Linked DNA regions of Drosophila melanogaster. The protein of the gene in region 2 interacts with the protein of the main gene of each other region in a pairwise test. Each region holds a gene or a part of one and is shown on either strand. Other genes may lie near its edges.

Region 1 (5,945 bases), 3.2 Mb from region 2:
GTCGGCGTCTAAGATCCCCTGGCGGAAACAAGTCCTTCAGTATTCTATCCCCCTAGAGAGCTCCAGTTTCCAGCTCCGTTACCGTCTAATGTCGCATCAATTTGCGTAATTAGGTGTCCCGTCCTTCACGCACACCGTCAACTCATCTACAAGTTGGCTAATCCCCGGGGATATTTGATTAGTAGTGGTAGTGTGTGATTGAAAAGTTGCCAGCAGAACATTCCAATCGGCGCCCGCAGTGGATCAAAGGGCATAGAAAATAAAAATTAGTTGTGAGCCGCATACCGATTTCTGCGGAGTCGCGAACCGGGAAATATAAAAACCATGAAACAACAATGGAAATGGCCCATGGCGATGGTCGATGATGGTCAATGTTTTCTCTAGATCCCGGGAGCGGAAGAGGTGCATATGGGTGCGTTTTTATGGACAACAAGGCTGTAGGCCTCATCCAGTTATTTAAGCACGGACACACGCACAATATATATATATATATAAAATATACGATTCCGATTCCATCGGAGTGTTTTATGAGTTCATAAAATGGGTGTGTAGGTGTTTATTATCGTTGTGTTATTTTGGTTTGTCCCCGCCGTCACCAATATGGCATGGGAAATTGAAATTGTGAAGTTGCTTTTCTGCTGAATATTTTATCGCGCGTCCTTCGCCATACTCGTAAATATATGAATATCCTACGGCCCGGAAAGTGAGTCCCCCGACCAATATCTTAAAGCTGCAGGCATCGTAACTAGATTAGAAAACAGGCAGTCCGTCCGGGCATCCGACAGGATGGGCACTACGTTCGGGGATTCCCCTCTTAGTCGAGGGCGCCATATAAAAACTTTATTAAACGCAACTACGCATAAAAACAAAACGATGACAAAGTGTACGCGACCTCGTCTCCTCAATTGGCAATTTTTTCAGCTGCCGCGCTGCGGCCTGCAACAATTCACTTCAAGATGTAGCAAATTTCATTAGAATCGTAACGGGAAAACGTGTCTCAACGGCTAAATTGCAAGGGACCAAGACCGAATCAAAAACGGAGCAGTAGCCCACGATTTTGGGAGAAGGTCGAAGGCTTGATTGGGTTCTTATGAAGTGGGTCACACGCCCCAAAGTGCCCAGCCTTTTATTTTTTTGGTGCAAAATATGTTGGAGCTTAAGATTGTTACCCAACTATTTTTAAACTTATTCTGCAGATAGTAAATCATTTCATCTGACATTTAATTGCAAATCTTTTCATGTATCTCATAGCTTTTGAAAAGAGCTTTGTAGCTATGTTTTATTCCCTTTTTTTTAGAATTTTCTTGGGTCGATAGCCAAACTAAAATACATATGTACGTATGCCTACGTCTATTATACACTTCTAGCTGACTAGCTGGGTTTCTTTATTGTCTTTTTATGGGCCATGTGCCCGAGGATACGAACACAGACAAGAAAAACACAAAAGGTGTTAGTGAATTTTATTCAAATTTGACGCTAATCAAAAGCTGCGTGACAGGAAAGTTAAAAGCAGCGAGAAATCCAATTCGCTTGGGTTTTGAATTCGAGCTGAAGTTTTCCCAGAGGCATGATTTATCCCTGATTTGGGTTTGTTTTCCCGATTAGCTGGAGGATATTTTCATTCGGATTGTACTTGAAATAACAACTTGGTGGAATGAAACATTGTTATCTTTAAATACCTTGATCCGATTTGATTTAGAATTCATTAAATGTAAATATATTTTCCAGTGAAATGTTCATCTTCATTATATTTAATAATTAAGCTCGAAGAAAATGAACAGCCATTGCAAAATACAGTACAAAATAAAACAGAATACCGTTTAAATAAATGATAAGATTAAAGGTGTTAAATTATTTCTTCGAAAAATCTGGAAATATTCAAAACTCTCCTGTTTTCTGATAAAGTCCTTTATTGGCGTTAAACAAAATCACAAGCGGATATGAACTCTTAAACGTTATATTGAAGCTACCTTAAGAAAATTCTACAAAATGTTGACTTCGCCATATTTGCTCACGTTTCGAACGAAGGACTACGTGCTATCTAAGCTGGAACCCAGGAACAATCCGAGTGATTTTGGTTTCCACGAAAAACTCCAACGTGCATGTGCGCCAGGTGACTGGAATGTGCTTCGACTGTCTCTCCGTCTGATATACTGCAACTGCCCTCCAACCGATCGACTGCCTCTGGCGGCCTAAACGCATTTGGACTTCCGCCTCCACTTTGGTATGAGCAAGCGGAACCGCCGCGCAACCGCCAGACGTCGCCGGCTTCATTTGTCCATCGCCGTGCCAGCAGGATTAGCCTCTCCACCATCGCCGTCCACATCCGCCTGCTCGATAGCCTTGGGCGCCGTGGGATCGGACACGCTGCCAAAGTAATTGCCCGTGGGCTCAATCTCGATCTCGCGCTCCACGTCGTCCAGTTTCGGTGGTGCTGGCACCGTAATCATCAGTATTCCGTCCGCAGAGAAGGTGGCCCGTGCCTGTGTGGCATCGTAGTGCCGTGGTAGCTTGTAGGATCGCGTAAACTCGCGAGTGATGCACAACTGACCCTTCTCCGCCCGGTCATCCGCCTGCTTGCCCTCCACGCACACGGTGTCGCTGTTTTTGGCCTTCACCGTGAGCTCAGAGATCTGAAAGTGGTGCACGTCCAGCACCACCTTGAAGGTGCCCCGACCCAGGGAGTCCGGTTCGGTGCCGGTCTCTATGACCACTCGCCCAACCAGACAGGATCCATGGCACCAGGCACTGTCGTCCATCCGCAAGTGAAAGTCCCGCGCACATACGTCCAGGTCGTGGGAGAGATAGTAGTGCCTCTGCCGGCACTTGGACTCCCCGGTGGACCAGTGGCGACGCGGCGGTTGCCAGTGATGGTGACCATGCTCGTGATCATGCTCCCAATCCCAGTCCCAGTGGATGGGCATGACTGCGCCACCGGTTCCCGATGCACGGACTCCGGTTCGTTGGACACACGGAGCAAGCGTGTTGATTTTTGGCTTATGTGGCCAAAAAAACCGTTGCCCTCCGCCCGGTTCGACTCTTACAAGCTAACTGAGTGGATGAGGTTATGGTAATCGCTGGAACTTGGAGCTGCACAACTGTACCTGGCACCAAAGCCACTCTAACTGAGCATATTTCTGTTCCACCTTCAATGGCGTTTTTAAGTACAGTGACTCTTCAGTAGGTGCGACTCCAATTCGATGCAGGAAAGGATCATTTAGAAACATGCACGTAAACCAAAAGATATTCTTTTAATTAAGTTGGCTACAGGTAAATGGCTTTTTACTAAGTGATAACTCTCAATCAGTTACATATATCAGGATTTTACTGTATCGCGTTCCTTCAGTGGGACACGCGTTCCCGGGAAAGTGGGTCTCAGCCTTGTCCGACAACTCGAACTGTTTGATCAATACCCGTCCCACCAGCAGTCCAATCAGCCGCGGAGCTTCGTCCTTTTATTGCACAAGCGGCGCCAAGGAGCCGGAATCGGAAGACGGGACAAGGAGAGCACAGTGCACACAGCGCGAGTTGAGCCAGTTATGAGATAATGCCAAAAATTTTGAATCAAACCGAGTGCTGGAGGAATGGCGAATGGTGTCACTAATTGTACCATTGTCACCCCGCCACGGGAAGAGCAAAGCAAATCCGAGCAACTGAACTCGGCAGACGAGTATGGCAGACGCATTGTGGCAAATGAAACTAATGAAAATCGTGACCCCACAGCAACATTGGATACTTATGCACTAAGAGAAACTGCATGGATATCTATGAAAATCGAAAGCTACTCCATGAAGAGTGGCAAAAGTCCTTGTTAAAATTGTATACTTATTTTAAAATTTGAAATACACTTTTTTTAGTGCGTTTTTTTTTTCAGTGTGACTGCAGTGCTATCCAAACAGCTGTTAACAGGGTGCTATCTTTTACGGAAAATATGGCAAAAGTAAGCAACCAAATTTTCTGATTGGCTGTAGATAATGAAAGCTGCGTCGGATTAAATTTCCCGCCAAATCCTTAAGGCTCGTGGGACCAAATTACAACCACTTCCTCTCGATTTGCACCCTGTATTCGATAGCTGTATTCCATTGTCCTTAGACGACGACGACGACATCGTCGTTGCGTTGTCAAGACAGTTGTTGCCTCTTTGTTGCTGCCATTTTTGTACCACTGCTGCCCCGGGTTGAGCCAATTTGTAAAATATATACGATATATATTTTACTTATGTCTGGTGCTGCTGGGGTCAGGCAATTTGGCTGCTCGCGCTGCATGGCTGCTGAAATTGAATTTTTGCTTTGGCTTTTAAGCAAGTTTGACAAATTTTCAGAGCACGGCCAAAAGTGACTGCAACAGTTTCGTTAGCTTCCAAGCCAAAAGTCGATGTTTTCTTGGCCAAGGGAAAAGCAGAAAAGTCAAAAGGGGATGGGGGCCAAGGGGTAGATGGGTTTGAAATTGCATTGACAGGCAGTCAAGCCCTTCCACTTCATGGCGCTGGGACAAATATAGATTACGCAAGTGCTTAGGGTTAAGCTAATATTAGCAGGAATCTAAATTCCTTCCTCAAAAGGTCAATTGGTTTGCTGGCTACAAATTGTGCACCGCTTTTACATAACACATCGATGCCAAAGACGTCAGAGAAACGTACAGAGCTTAGTTTTTAGCAAGCTCCTGTTGATCGAATTAGCTGGAATTTGTTAGGCAAATAAAATGTGGGAAAAATGGATCTTTGTTGGCTGCTTTTCAGTCTTGAACTCAGTTCAATTCAGACTTTAAAGGTGTTCGCAAGCTTTAAGTAAGCAAAAAGTGGTGTAGTTTGCACAATAAAAGGACCTCGATTATTTCAAGCGATTAAGGATATTTTTGAAAAGTAAAATCCAACAATTAAGACAATCGAAGTTGGCTTAATGAGAAGTATTTGCTTAGCCGCTGCTTCAATAATTGTATTACTACTGTTGTGGCACTTAATCAGCCCAACGGCCTTGTAGTCCTGCAAATCCTCGCCCCAGATTGCAAAGGACACAGGATTAGGGGCGCAATTAATGACCGTGGCCATTGATTATTTTACACACATGTGTGTGTGTGTGTGTGTACCTACCGCCTTCAAATGGCAATTGGAACGCCAAGGCATGTTAATCAAAGCCACCCCTGTTTTGGGAGTTTGGGGCCAGTTAGCCATGGTTGCGGGCCTCTTGGCAACCAGCTTTGGATGCCTTAGTGCCGTGATTGGAAAATAATTGCATTCATTAAGTGGGTTATTGCCTACGACGCTTGCGATAAACATCTGCTAACTGGGTCACAATTTCGGCGACTGGCAATCCAATAGATTAACGGCCGAACGCCTCAGTTTGCGGGCTTAAAGGTATCTGTATCTGAACATAAGGTTCGTTACACTTGGCCACAACGGATTGGTTGATAGTGTTCCGAAAGCTCGAAACTTCATATTCTTAAAATGTAGTTAATGTTACTAGATATGTATACTTATATTTATTGTCCTTTATCTAAGTCTAAACACAATTACTTTATACGTGCCTTAAGCAAACTGTCTAAATGTGCCAATTGGTTGCCAATAGCCATCGGTGGTAACTAATCAGTAGATGGCCAGTATTGGCCATATTTCGATAATAAATAGCATTTGCCCAAGTGAACATCTCCCTGCGGTGAAATCAAGCATTAAAAATTCACTTACTTCCGGTTATTTTAGTACGCAAAAGTAAAGTCATCGGACGGATTTAATGTGTAGTCGTTTGTATAATGCAAAGTTGGTAAATGTCCAAATGAATGACTTCACTCACTTCACTTTAGTTAAAATATTTACTAATACTTGCCTACCCTCCATTTGCGGGGATTTTGGGTGGAGTAAAACACATGTTTGCGGCTTTGTACGGCAGTCATTTTTTACACATCAATGCGTCCGAGTGGGCCACGCAAACTGGGCGAAACTGAAACTGATG
Region 2 (6,165 bases):
CCATAGATGCAGACAAGCAGGAGCAGCGACTCACTGTGAAGCCTCTCAAACGGGCAGTTGGCCACGCGTTCCAGCAGGGCATTGCACACCTTGCTCTTGAGCTTGGTGCGGGAAACAAGCTGAGCAACGATCACATAGGCGGCCGCCATAAAGTCGATATTATCGGAAATCAGGCCACGAAGCAGCGACTCCAGAATAGTGGTGATGTGCCAGTCCTGCAGTGGTTTGGCCGTTTGCAGGGCGCCAACTACGACGGTGGCATAGAAGTTGATCTGGGCTTGCAGTTGGTGGGCTCGAGGACCCAGTTCCTTAACCGCCTTCTGGGTACTTTGGCAGATGAAGCCGAGGAAGGCGGGATTGCTGGCGGCTCTGTTAATAATAGCAGTCTTGGCTAGCGGAACGCCAGGACGCTGCAACGGGCGCAGCCAGTACCAGTCGCCATCCGATGACCGGAGCCTCATGGTCTTAACGATCTGGACAAAGATCATTGTCTCGTGATAGGGCAGAATCAGGGCCATAACTTCGCTACGGTTATACTCGTGAACCTGGAATCGTCGCAGCAACCATTCGAAGGCCATGTGTGCGGGGCGGAGCAGAAGGTACGGCGAAAGAAGGCGCAGAAACTTTGCAATGGCCGCGTCCAGCATCTTGTTAATCTCCGGCAGCTCCACGGAACGCTCCAGCGTCAATGTGGCCTCATCGAACAACGTTAGCTGGAACTCCTTGAAGGCCGGATTAAAGTCGGTCAGCTCCTGCAGTCCCGTTAACCCGATCTCATAAATGGACCGCCGATCCTTGGTGGCCGCCTCCTTGGGATCGAAGAGTATGGAGGCGCGACTTCGTGCATCTGCCAAAGTTACCGACGACTGCGGCGCAGCCAGTTTCTGCAGCTGCTGTGCCAACGCAGTACTCATTTTGGATGATCGTTTTTTCCTTTTTTCTCAAGTTAATTAAAGGTAAAAACGGAGAACAATAAATGTGCGGCAACCGCACTCCACACGTGTTTTGTTGGTGTGGCCAAAGATCTCTTGGCAGTACACAAAGTAGCTTACGGTAAATAGCGCGCATTGGCGTTAGCCAAGACCCAAACCAGTATACTACAGCTGATTTTAAACATTTTCTGTTTGAATTTATTTTATGCAATGCAATCAATAATAATAAAATATTTTTAAGACTTGCCTAACATATTAAGGCTGCCTTTGAAGCCTGTTATAATGATGTATAATAACAAAGCCTTACATGTTAATAAACAGGAATCACTTTCCCCCAGTTATAATTATAACAATTATAGTTCTAAAAATGATTTATATATTTTGCATGTGTAAAAAATACTTAATCTCGCAGAGGTACAGAATTCCGACAAACCTTACATGGAACGATTTAAAAACATATATATGAATGTACGTGATGAAATGGAACTTAATGCGATGGACATAATACGAAATTAATGAGATTTAAAAAAATCGAATACTAATCGTAATAGTTAAAAGCCTATGATAAAGCTAAAAGCAGAGCCGCTTGAGCGAGTTCTTCCTTGTGATTTTCGGATCACGGTTCTGGGCACGTTGTGGCGGCGTCAGTCGCTCCCGTGGCATCATCAGTTTGGATGGTGTGTCCAGTTCGGTGACCAGGCAACGCTCGCCGGGATGCGACTTGCACAGACAGTTGACGCAGAACCGAAACTGGCAGATGACACTGGTGCATTCGGCGAAGTTATATGGCGGTCCTTGCGGTGAAGTCCTGACCTCGTCAAGATCCAGGGACAGGAAGCGTTTGAGAGGCGGACCCGTCATGCAGGGGAATGTGCTGGTTGTACGTCCAATAGGCAGAGTTTGCGACAATAGGTTTTCGCCACACTTGGCCGCCTCGCTTATGAAAACCCGGCTGCCTCGACCGCATCGCGGACACTTGACGCGCTGCGTCTGCTCGCGCAGCACCCTTCCGGCATCCACGTCCATCAGGTGGATGCTCGAGTTGCCCGAGTCCATTAGCGAGGCGGCGCTGTTGGCCAGGCTGCTATGGTTCGAGGTCTGCAATGGCACTGTGTGGTTTGCCTTGGGCACATGGCTGCACCGCTTGGGCACGTGAGGATTCTCTTTGGTTAGATTCAATTTGAGTCGGTGGTTCTGTAGGCGCTCCAAGTCGCGTTGGCTGCGATAAACAGCCTGCTTCCAGGCCGGCGATACCTTGGTCATCACGTCCAGCGTGTGGGCGCCCACATGACGCAGTATGCACTGCAGTGCCGGTTGCCATTGCGCCAGCTTGGCCACGATATCCAGCTTTTCGACACCGCCGTAGAAGCGATTCTTGGGCGGTTCTTCTATGTGGGGAAAGAGCAGCTTTTTGGACTTCTTGGGGCTACTGTGTGGCGATTGAAAGTGTTTCTTGCGTCGCTTGGGCAGACTATGCTCATCCTGCAGACGCGGAGTCATAGAGAAAGGCTCCTCCTCCGCGGAAAATTTCTTTTGGGGCTGTGTTCTGGGATAGGGCTTGCCCCAGTAAAGGTCCTGCTCCTGGTGGCCACTGGGCGTGTTCAGCCCCCGAAAGAATGTTGTGGTATTCGATGCATTGCGACAGTTTTCGCCCTCAGCGTCCTCCAATAAAAATGGCGTCTCCGCGGTGGAATTGTGCAGCGCCAGGAAGGATGTGTAGCCAGACTCGTTCATCTCCAACTCGAAGGATGACCCTCGGCTTGGGCTCTTCTTCCGCAACGCCGCGCGCCGATAATAGGCGCTCATCTTGACCGAATTTTAAACTTTCGAATTGTTATGCTTTTCGCATCGGTTGATTGTTTTTGGGTACGGATCAGTGTGACCGCCCCAATAAAATACTAACTGGCTACTAAATAGATACCAGTTCATTGTCGGGTCAACTCAGAATGCTACGTATCGCGTTGCCAACCATTTGATATATATTATCGTGACTGTTAGGCAAACCATTTAAACTTGTGCATTAAAAGATGCCACTTGATCGGATTATTGGAATCTGACAGTTAATCGTAGACTCCTATTAACATAAGCAACTTCAGCCATTTATAAACATGTCTAAAAGAGTTCAAGCTGTACAAGATTTGAGGTTCTGGAATAAGATAGCGTTTTTTCATTCTATGCAGTGTGTACATACTTCCATATTAGCGAGTACACATTCCAAAGCTAGCGAAGACGCACTTGCGACTAATGCTCTCGAAAAAAGAAGTAAAATAAAGAATAAGAGTGATAAATAATATGTATAATCAGTTCATTAAGTTAAAAACACCAAGAATTTGACTTTCAATAAATTATATTTCCATGCCTTACGCCATAAGTATAAAATAAATACCTATATACTCAGCTTATTGCTTTAATACCAATTCGAAAATAGAAAACTTTCACTTATTAAATATGGAAATAAGTAATAGTTTGAAAACATTCACTTTATAAAAACGGGATTCCGTTTAACATCTTATATATTATTATTATATTATTATATTATATTATATTATTATATTATATTATATATATTAAAAGTGTATTTCATCGTCTTAGCTTTGAAGACATTGGTAAAATTATGTTGATAAGCTTATAAAAATACTCTCGATTAGCTGACATATGGTGCTATTTAAATTTCTACGCCTATAACAAAAAGATTTTAATCGAACATAAGTATATCTATATCTATTAAAATTGAAATCATTACAAATTATTTTATGAGATATGTCTTCTGTTCCCTGTTTGGCCCAATCAAAATTCGGCAGTCAGGATAATCTGGCCTTGGCCATCATCAGTGTCATCAAATTAACGAAAATCCCTCAATAATTTATCATTTGTTCTCCCTGACTCGTCCTTAGATTTTTTCCGTTCCGCTTCCCTCATCTTCTTCTTTGCCGCGTCCTTTGTGCCCACTGACAAATTTGCCAGCTCAAGTTTTTTGTGCAAATCATGACGGGGCATAGATTTGGGATTCATGTGAAAGTCTTCCTTCGCCGCTAGGTGGATAGTTTCGTCAGCTGTCCATAGAGTCAGCTAAATGAAGCCCCATGACCCACCACCACTGGCCAACCCATGCTCGTGCCCATTCCCATTCCAAGGACCATTTGCAACCGCCCGACGACTTCATCCACTTGCTGGGAAAGATGAGAGGTCGAGAATCTGTTGTGGTTGCCGGGGGAAAATCAATGAATGATATTTCCTTTATGAGGCTCAATTATTTGCTGCGGGGATTTGCTATTCTACCCCGGATTCTGTCATCTGGTTCGTGCCTCATTGTCCTTCTAAATGCTTTGGCAAAATATTTTGGGTATTTGCGCTGCCTTTTGTCGGCCAGCAGCTTCTGCGTTAATAATTTATGAATACTTGCTCGTTTATTGTTTTGCATTATTTATGGTTTTATTATTTGTCTATTTGCTGCCACCAAAAGGGGCGTGTCGGCGGGCAAAGATTTTGTTTTGATTTTAATTAAATCGACGGACAGACGCACATCGGCTTAATTTAAAGTCATTTGACTGTTCTAATCTCTTTTCCACTGACCGGTTTGCCCATCTTTTTTTTTTTTCGGGCGTGGATATGGCAGCATATTAATTGTCGTCGTGGCTTTGGGATTAATCTGTGGTTCATTTGGTTCGGTCCTGGGAAGTCGTGGTCACCCTGTTTGCTTTGAGATCAGAGGGATGTTAACTAATGACTTTGTCAATGGGAGCCGAATGAGTCGAACTAGGGATATGTGCTAGGCATTGATTTATCTTAGGTGTATATAGAAGATAACTGCAATGATATTTAAAGTATTATATAAAATATTACAAGATTTGCTAGAAATAATATGTTGTTGGTTGAATAATGAAGTAGTGCTCTTGCACTCATAAATATTGTTTTCAAAAATAAGTCTCAACTCATTTCCTTGACTTTACTTTAAGGACTTACATTACTTCCTGTACAAATCGCGACTTTACCATACCATGAATCTATTTGCCTTGTCCTGCTTCGAGAATGCTAACTAACCTTCACCCCAAAAACTACTGTCAACAGAACACAATTCCTTATGGCTGAGGGAAAATCCTTGAGGCAAGGCAAATCCATGTCCAAAAGGTCGCGACATATGTAGCGCATATATGCATACATATGTTTTGATGTGGAGCTATGTTTGCACGGATATTGATATGCGGCTGATTAATTTGAGTTTACGCACCAGAACGACCCGGAATGATGACAAATGGGGGAAAGGAAGGGCAGCTCCTGTCAATATTTGCACTCAATCCGTACATATGCTCTAATTATTATCCTTTTGGCAGTGGGCAGTGCCCTGTTTTGGCATTATGTCGCTGCACGCACACCCATTCCACTCCATTGGTGCTTTAACCCATGACAGCCCGATCAAACATGGGTCGGTCGCTCGAATCAACTAATTATGGTAATTTACCGCGGAATGTCAACAAATATTTTGTAACCGGTTATTTTATCGCACGGCCGCGACTCACGTAAGTCCTTCGACCAAGGAAGGAAGTCACCCATCCACACTGGACACACTGCAACTGGAACTGAAGGTGGAGGATGGAGGATGGGGTGGAGTTGGAGATGGAGCTGGCCAGGATGGCATTGTGAGTTGTCGTGGCTTGGAGCTGGACGGGGCAGTCGGAGCATTTGACAAACGATGTTTACCGCGGTGGGAGGCCATCCTGGGTGTCCTTGCGGCCACGCGAAGTGGTCGGATTATTTTTAACCAAACGAACGGACAAACTCAAATGGCTGTGCAAGCAAAGTAACCCGAACTGGAACTCAAACTGGAACGGAACCCAATTCGCTTGATTGTGTTTGATTTCGGCGGTGGGTTTATAAGTATATGAGTACTCATTCTTGCTACCCTTTCGTAGGTTGTTAACTTGTTAAAATTGAGTTGTTAATGGATGTATGTTCCCTAGTTTTAAAAAGTTTGAAGAATATCTTAATGTCACTTTTACTTCTTATGTTTAGAAAGATTTAATGTTGCTGCTTTCTAGGGTATCTCAACGTTTGCACTTTCTCTACAAGTGACCAACTATTTGCTCTGTTTTATGATGGCCCACTGCGTGGTAATTCATTTTTAGTCAATAAATCGCTTGGTTACCCGTGCTTTTTTGTCCTTTTACCTGGGAGTGGCGAAAGGAAAACAAAAATTAAACTGATTACCGGGCCAAAGTTGAGAGCCAGAGGAGCA
Region 3 (5,449 bases), on a different chromosome or scaffold from region 2:
TCCTTCCGTTTCAGCGTTTCCCCGAAAAGGCGGACACAAGGAGAGCGCGTGGGTGGAGCGGTGAAATGGGCGGTGGCGCCCTGACCATCCGCCCAAATCAGCGGCGGGGCACGGTGCGGATGCGTTATGTACTCGTCCTGGCCTTTGACAACTGAAAATGGCAAAAGGTAGCTGAGCAACGGCAGCAGCAGTCCCTGCGAATCGATAACCGCAACACACAAAGTGCTGATCAGCCAATCAAGGCGAGCAACTAAGCGATATAGGGGTGCACTCAAAGCGTCCCGAAAAAAAAAAAAAAAAACTAGAGCCCCGAGCCCCAGGATGCGGATGTGGGTGCGGATGCCGCAGGCTGTGCAGCTGCTGTTTGCGATGGGCTTGTGGGCGATGCAAGGTCACGCGCAGTTGGATTCAGAGCCAGAGGCAGTCGGAGCAGAAGGAGCAGCGGGACCTGGATCCCCAGCGCCACGGAACCGCATCAAGGCGGAAGCGGATGCCCTGATGACAGGCGACAGCTTCAACATTCGCCACGGGCGCTCTCGGTCGCATTTCCTTCATGGCAGCACAAACAGTAGCAGCAGTAGCGGCATTGGGAGTGGCGGTGGGACCACACGCCTCACCCTGATCCCGCCCACACAGCTGCCGGGTGTGGGTGGGACCTCGCCGGCTCCCGTCACGCACAAAATCCGCAAATTGCACAAGAAGAAAATCAACGAGAGCATACGCAAAAGTGTGGACAAAAGTCTGGGCCTCCGCCATACGCCGAAGAATCACCGCAGTTTGGCCGAGGCCGAGCACCTGCAGGGTCGTCCTGCCAGCGAGGACGCCGAGGATACGGCTCTCAGCGAGGTCATGCAGCTAGCGGATGAGATTGAGCTGGAGAGCTCATTCGTGACGGCGGCCCCAACAGGTGATCCGGATATTGGTGTCAAACAGGCACGCCAATTTGTGCGTGATGAGGCCAATTACCAGGAGGACGATGATGATACTATCGACGACGACGAGGAGCTCGATGAGGAGGAGGAGGAGGCTCCAATGTCCACCACCATCAAGCCCAAAATCGCCAGTACCCGCCTGCTGCCGGTGAATGGCACTTGGCAGCGAATGGGCACCATATCGCGGGACTCCCCCCCGGAATCGGATTACGACTCTAATGCCCTGGACAACGCGCAGGAGGACGAGGAGGAGGAGGAGGGTCAACCATTTGGCAAGCTGCTGCCGCTCAACGAAAGCCTCGCCACCACCGAATGGATGGACGATGGGGCTCAGCGGGAACCGGAGGCGGAGGCCAGATCCCAGGCGGCCAGCATGGAGGTCAAGCAGATCAGCTTCGACAGCGATGGCGACTCCGATTCCGAGGCGGGACTGGACACCTCCGAGGTCACCATGGACGACGGCTATCCGCCGGATGCGCAAGTCGATGACAAGACCAAGCAGCTGGTCATTGGCGATGTGGAGGAGGATTCCGGCGACAACATGGAGTCCAACCAGTTTACCGCCGACGTGATTAACGCGCGGGACAGCAAGATCGATCTGGTGTCCAAGTTCCTGCAGTATATCGAGCAGCAGCATCTGATGGGCTCCAACTGCGTGGCTGGTACTTCGCTCAATCTGGGCGAGGGCGTGGTCGACCGGTATGCTCAGGACAGGTTCCGGGTGGAGGCCGAGGTGGCCGTCAATCGCGCCAATATGCTGACCAGGTGAGTGGATGTCACGGACAAAGTTTTCCGAGTTACTCAGCCCACATCATATTCACATGCCAAACTTTTCCAATCGAAAGTTTTCGGCCAGACGGTTGGCGAATGCAAGTGAAAATGGAAATGGAAATGGAATCCGTACTGAACAATTGCGGTCAAGAAAGTAGTGTGCTTTCCCTGAAGGTCATTCGAGGGTCAAGATACATATGAAGGATATTTATGTGATATTTTGTGAGCATAGGTAAGGATGTCGAGTTACATTCTAATCCGGAACAGGCATCAATCCTTCGAAAATGTTCACTTCGAATTTATATAATTTCGCCGTACTCTATCGCCTCGTCCTCCTGCGGGACTTCCGACTCCATCGTCATCAAATCCTCCTCGGAGGGCGAGAAATCGTTGGTTATGTGAAAGGTCTGGCGAATCTCCTCCGTCGTGCGGCCTTTAATCATGTTGGCCACCGTCATGCAGGCGGCGTTCAGCAGATTGGGAATGTCCAGGTAGTTGGCCGCCAAGATGAGTTCGAAGAGCGTGCCCTGATCCATGGACAGGAACTCGGCGTCCCAGGGGGTGATCTGCACAGCGACGGACTTGGCCGCTTCCTCTTCGTTCTCCTCTGCAATGTCCTCGCGATGATGCTTGGCCCAAATGAGGACCTTCTTCAGGATCGTCGAGTTCACATTGGGCAGCGGGATAAGAGTGTCGTTCTCCGCTTCCACTGGACAATCCTCCAATAGGGTCTTAATGGTGCTCGAGCACTTGGCAGTCTCGATGTCGGTCTCGAAAATTTCGCCATCGGAGGACTGCAATTTGATGACTGGCATGGTCCGTTTTCGCCCACAAAGGGTTTTCCTTTAAGGTTATCTGGTACAGTTCAACTTTTCAAGAAAATCTGTCAGTGCCAACTTGACAGTTAAAAATTAAACAGAACAGATTCGTAATGGAAACAAATTGGTGATTCATCAAATTCAAACAAATGTCCATGGAATGGAGATAGCATTTATTAACAATTTAGACAACATTTTTATTTCAATATAACGAGCAAAATCGATTAGATATTGGCAGAAATACACAATTTTAGTTTCATAACATATTTATTGTTGTATAAGTAATAGTTGATTGCCGCTTACAATGGTATTTACCATGTTCTACACAATGGACATTTCAATTGCAGCACAATTTATTGCTGTTTGTTATAACAGAAAAATATGAAATATTTAGGGCCCATTTCGAATACGGAAATAAAAACAAAACCAGGGATTTGGCCTCCATTTTCCCTTTTCAATTCACCATCGCTCATTGCTCGGGGTTCACTTTGCAGCAGATACTCGCCATTTTCTGCTCATCTAGATTGGCCCGTGTCCTTTGTCAACAAGGAGCATAATGTGCTTTTCTTGTTGCGGTGGCTCTCGTCGCTTGTTGGCCATAGTTGGCAGAACTACCATCGCTTTCCCTGCGATTTTCCTTCGATTTTTCCGTCCGCCTGGCTGCGTGCAATTTTTTGATAAAAGTTCAATTACTTAGCGTGGCAGGCGTGCCGAGCAAAAAGTTTGCACCATTCTTGTGGCCAAAACGGAAGGCCAGCTGGCGGAGGACATTGATTTACCTGGACAACCAAAGCGATGGCAATTCATTTGGTTTTTCTTGGAATTTCCAGCTGTCCAGGCTGGCCAAACGGAGCAAGCTGACCAATCTGATGTGTGTGCTCATTGTTTACTCGTGTCCATTCCGCTTCCATCATCGATTTGGCAGTGTATCGTGTATCAGGATAACCGCCCCAGTGACAATCCCAAGGACATGCCAGCCCAGCTCCCATGTTTTCTGAGCTCTTCTTTTCTTCGGCAGCTCTCTCTCTCTCTGTTCAGCAGCCAGGCACAATAAACACAAAGTTTCTTCAGATTTCGCATATCTGGGTATGAAGTCCGAGCACCAAAGTTACGGACTCCAAAGTCCTGTGTGTTCCAATGTCCAAAGTCCAAAGTCCAAGTGTACGAATGTCCTTGCCTGCATGCACGCATCGTATGTGTCAATGCCGATGGGGATGTGCTCCGTGCAGACATTAGACCTGGAATTTATGTCCTTCTGTTTTTCTTGAGTGTCTTTGTGGCAAATAGCAATAGAGAAATCAGCAAAAAAGCAAACTTTTTCTGAGCCAAAACGAGGGCAACGTGGGTGTGTGGCTGGCTTCGTGCAACAGGCCATTGGATATCGTCCAACCGTCGATGGTCACCAAATTCCGATGACATAATTTTCCAGCTTAGATGACAACTTTTTGTGCGCTGATTGAGCCAGGAAATCAAAGCCATTTGTTAACGAAAAACTCATTTGTTAAAAGCCGCACAGAAAGGACGACAGGACTACAAGCTGATGAATCCAAGGAACGATTGCCGCTTGTCAATAAAACGCACAAATAAACAATTAACCCAAACGACTAGCAGCTCGACAAATTAAGTGACAGAGGGGAAAGGTCGGTCGATAGCGAGGAAAGGCGGGAAAAGGAGAGAAAAATGGGAAATGCGGACAATGTCGTAACTTGGCCTGGGGAGCAATAAAATGTCAAAGACTCACTGTCAATAAATTAAATTGCAAACGGCCACGGATCTGGCACGGGATCAACATTATTGCATTTAGTGTCATATGCCAGGCATTTGTTTTCATTATTTGTTCAGCGGGGAATGTGGCCTCTGGGACTGAACTCCACTTCCTTGATTTATCCAGCTCGACATCCATAAATCCAATGGATTGCCCAGATACTGGTTCATAATTGCAGGAGGGATGGCGGCTAATCAGGACCCGTATTAATCAGTTTTCCTTGTGTTAACATAATCAAGGATGGCCGGAAACTTTTCCTTCAGCGGAAAAAGGGAAACTCGAAGGAGGAAAGCAAAGGGAAATCACAGGGAAAGCGCTACACAGATAGATACTAATTGAAGTTATTGTTTTGTGATACATTGTTATCGCCCTGCCAGCAAGGGATCCTGTTCCGTGTTGCCGCTCGCTTTTTGGTTTGGGCATTTCCCGTTTACTTTGTTGCGCAAACAAAAACAAGGATAACATTTAAGGAAAACAACGGGCGGCAGGAGCAGAAGGTGAGCCCAGGGGGCGGGCTAAATGGCAGTCAGGAAAAACAATATCAATTCAAGTTGAAATTACGAGCTTCAATTGTTTTCTTGCCTTGGCCACTTTTCGTTAGTTTCCGTTCACGCCGCCAAAGTGCAGACGGCAAACAGAAAGGAAAAGCGACTTTAGCTCGTCGCGCACACACACACGACACAAAAGCGCTGAGGGGAAAGGAAAATTGTGGCAGTGTGGCAGTGTGGCAGTGTGGCAGTGTGGCGGTGTGGCAGTGTGGCAATGTGGCGGATGGAATCGGAAAACTTTTAAGTACTTAAATGTGTTGTCGTCGCGCAGAGAGAAGGTGAGAATCATGCGAAGGACCTGCTGCCGCCATTTTTTTCATGTTTCGAAATTGAGTTTCCGGTTGCCTGTTCTCTGCCAACAAAACTCCTTTGTTGCTACAACTGGCTTTTGCGACTTCAAGTGCACATCTCTCTTATTTGCCAGGCAATGATTTTGTTATTTTCCAGCGGAAGTTCGGCGATAAACTTGGCAAATAATTTATTGCCAAAGCCGTCGCTTGTTTCAACTTGCAATGCCTTTGGAATTCGAGTGCCGTTTGCGTTCCAGCTCGTACAACAAATCGAAATTGAAATCTGCATAAGCGATGCAGTTTCCAATTGCCAGCGGCAATAAAA

Evidence for each region.
Region 1: the proteins of Rca1 (region 2) and CG13133 interact in a two-hybrid assay, tested with the Drosophila melanogaster proteins (one large-scale study listed by BioGRID).
Region 3: the proteins of Rca1 (region 2) and SkpF interact in a two-hybrid assay, tested with the Drosophila melanogaster proteins (one large-scale study listed by BioGRID).

Annotation. Positions count from the first base shown.
Region 1 is NT_033779.5:10,089,312-10,095,256, forward strand, and holds CG13133 (uncharacterized protein), read right to left. Parts: upstream 3,079-5,945; 5' UTR 2,925-3,078; coding exon 2,271-2,924; 3' UTR 1,897-2,270; downstream 1-1,896.
Region 2 is NT_033779.5:6,848,995-6,855,159, reverse strand, and holds Rca1 (regulator of cyclin A1), read right to left. Parts: upstream 2,846-6,165; 5' UTR 2,739-2,845; coding exon 1,503-2,738; 3' UTR 1,294-1,502; downstream 1-1,293. Other genes in the region: l(2)k09022 (lethal (2) k09022), read right to left, coding at 1-914.
Region 3 is NT_033778.4:23,456,169-23,461,617, forward strand, and holds SkpF (SKP1-related F), read right to left. Parts: upstream 2,592-5,449; 5' UTR 2,519-2,591; coding exon 2,003-2,518; 3' UTR 1,897-2,002; downstream 1-1,896. Other genes in the region: CG43795 (uncharacterized protein), read left to right, coding at 322-1,697.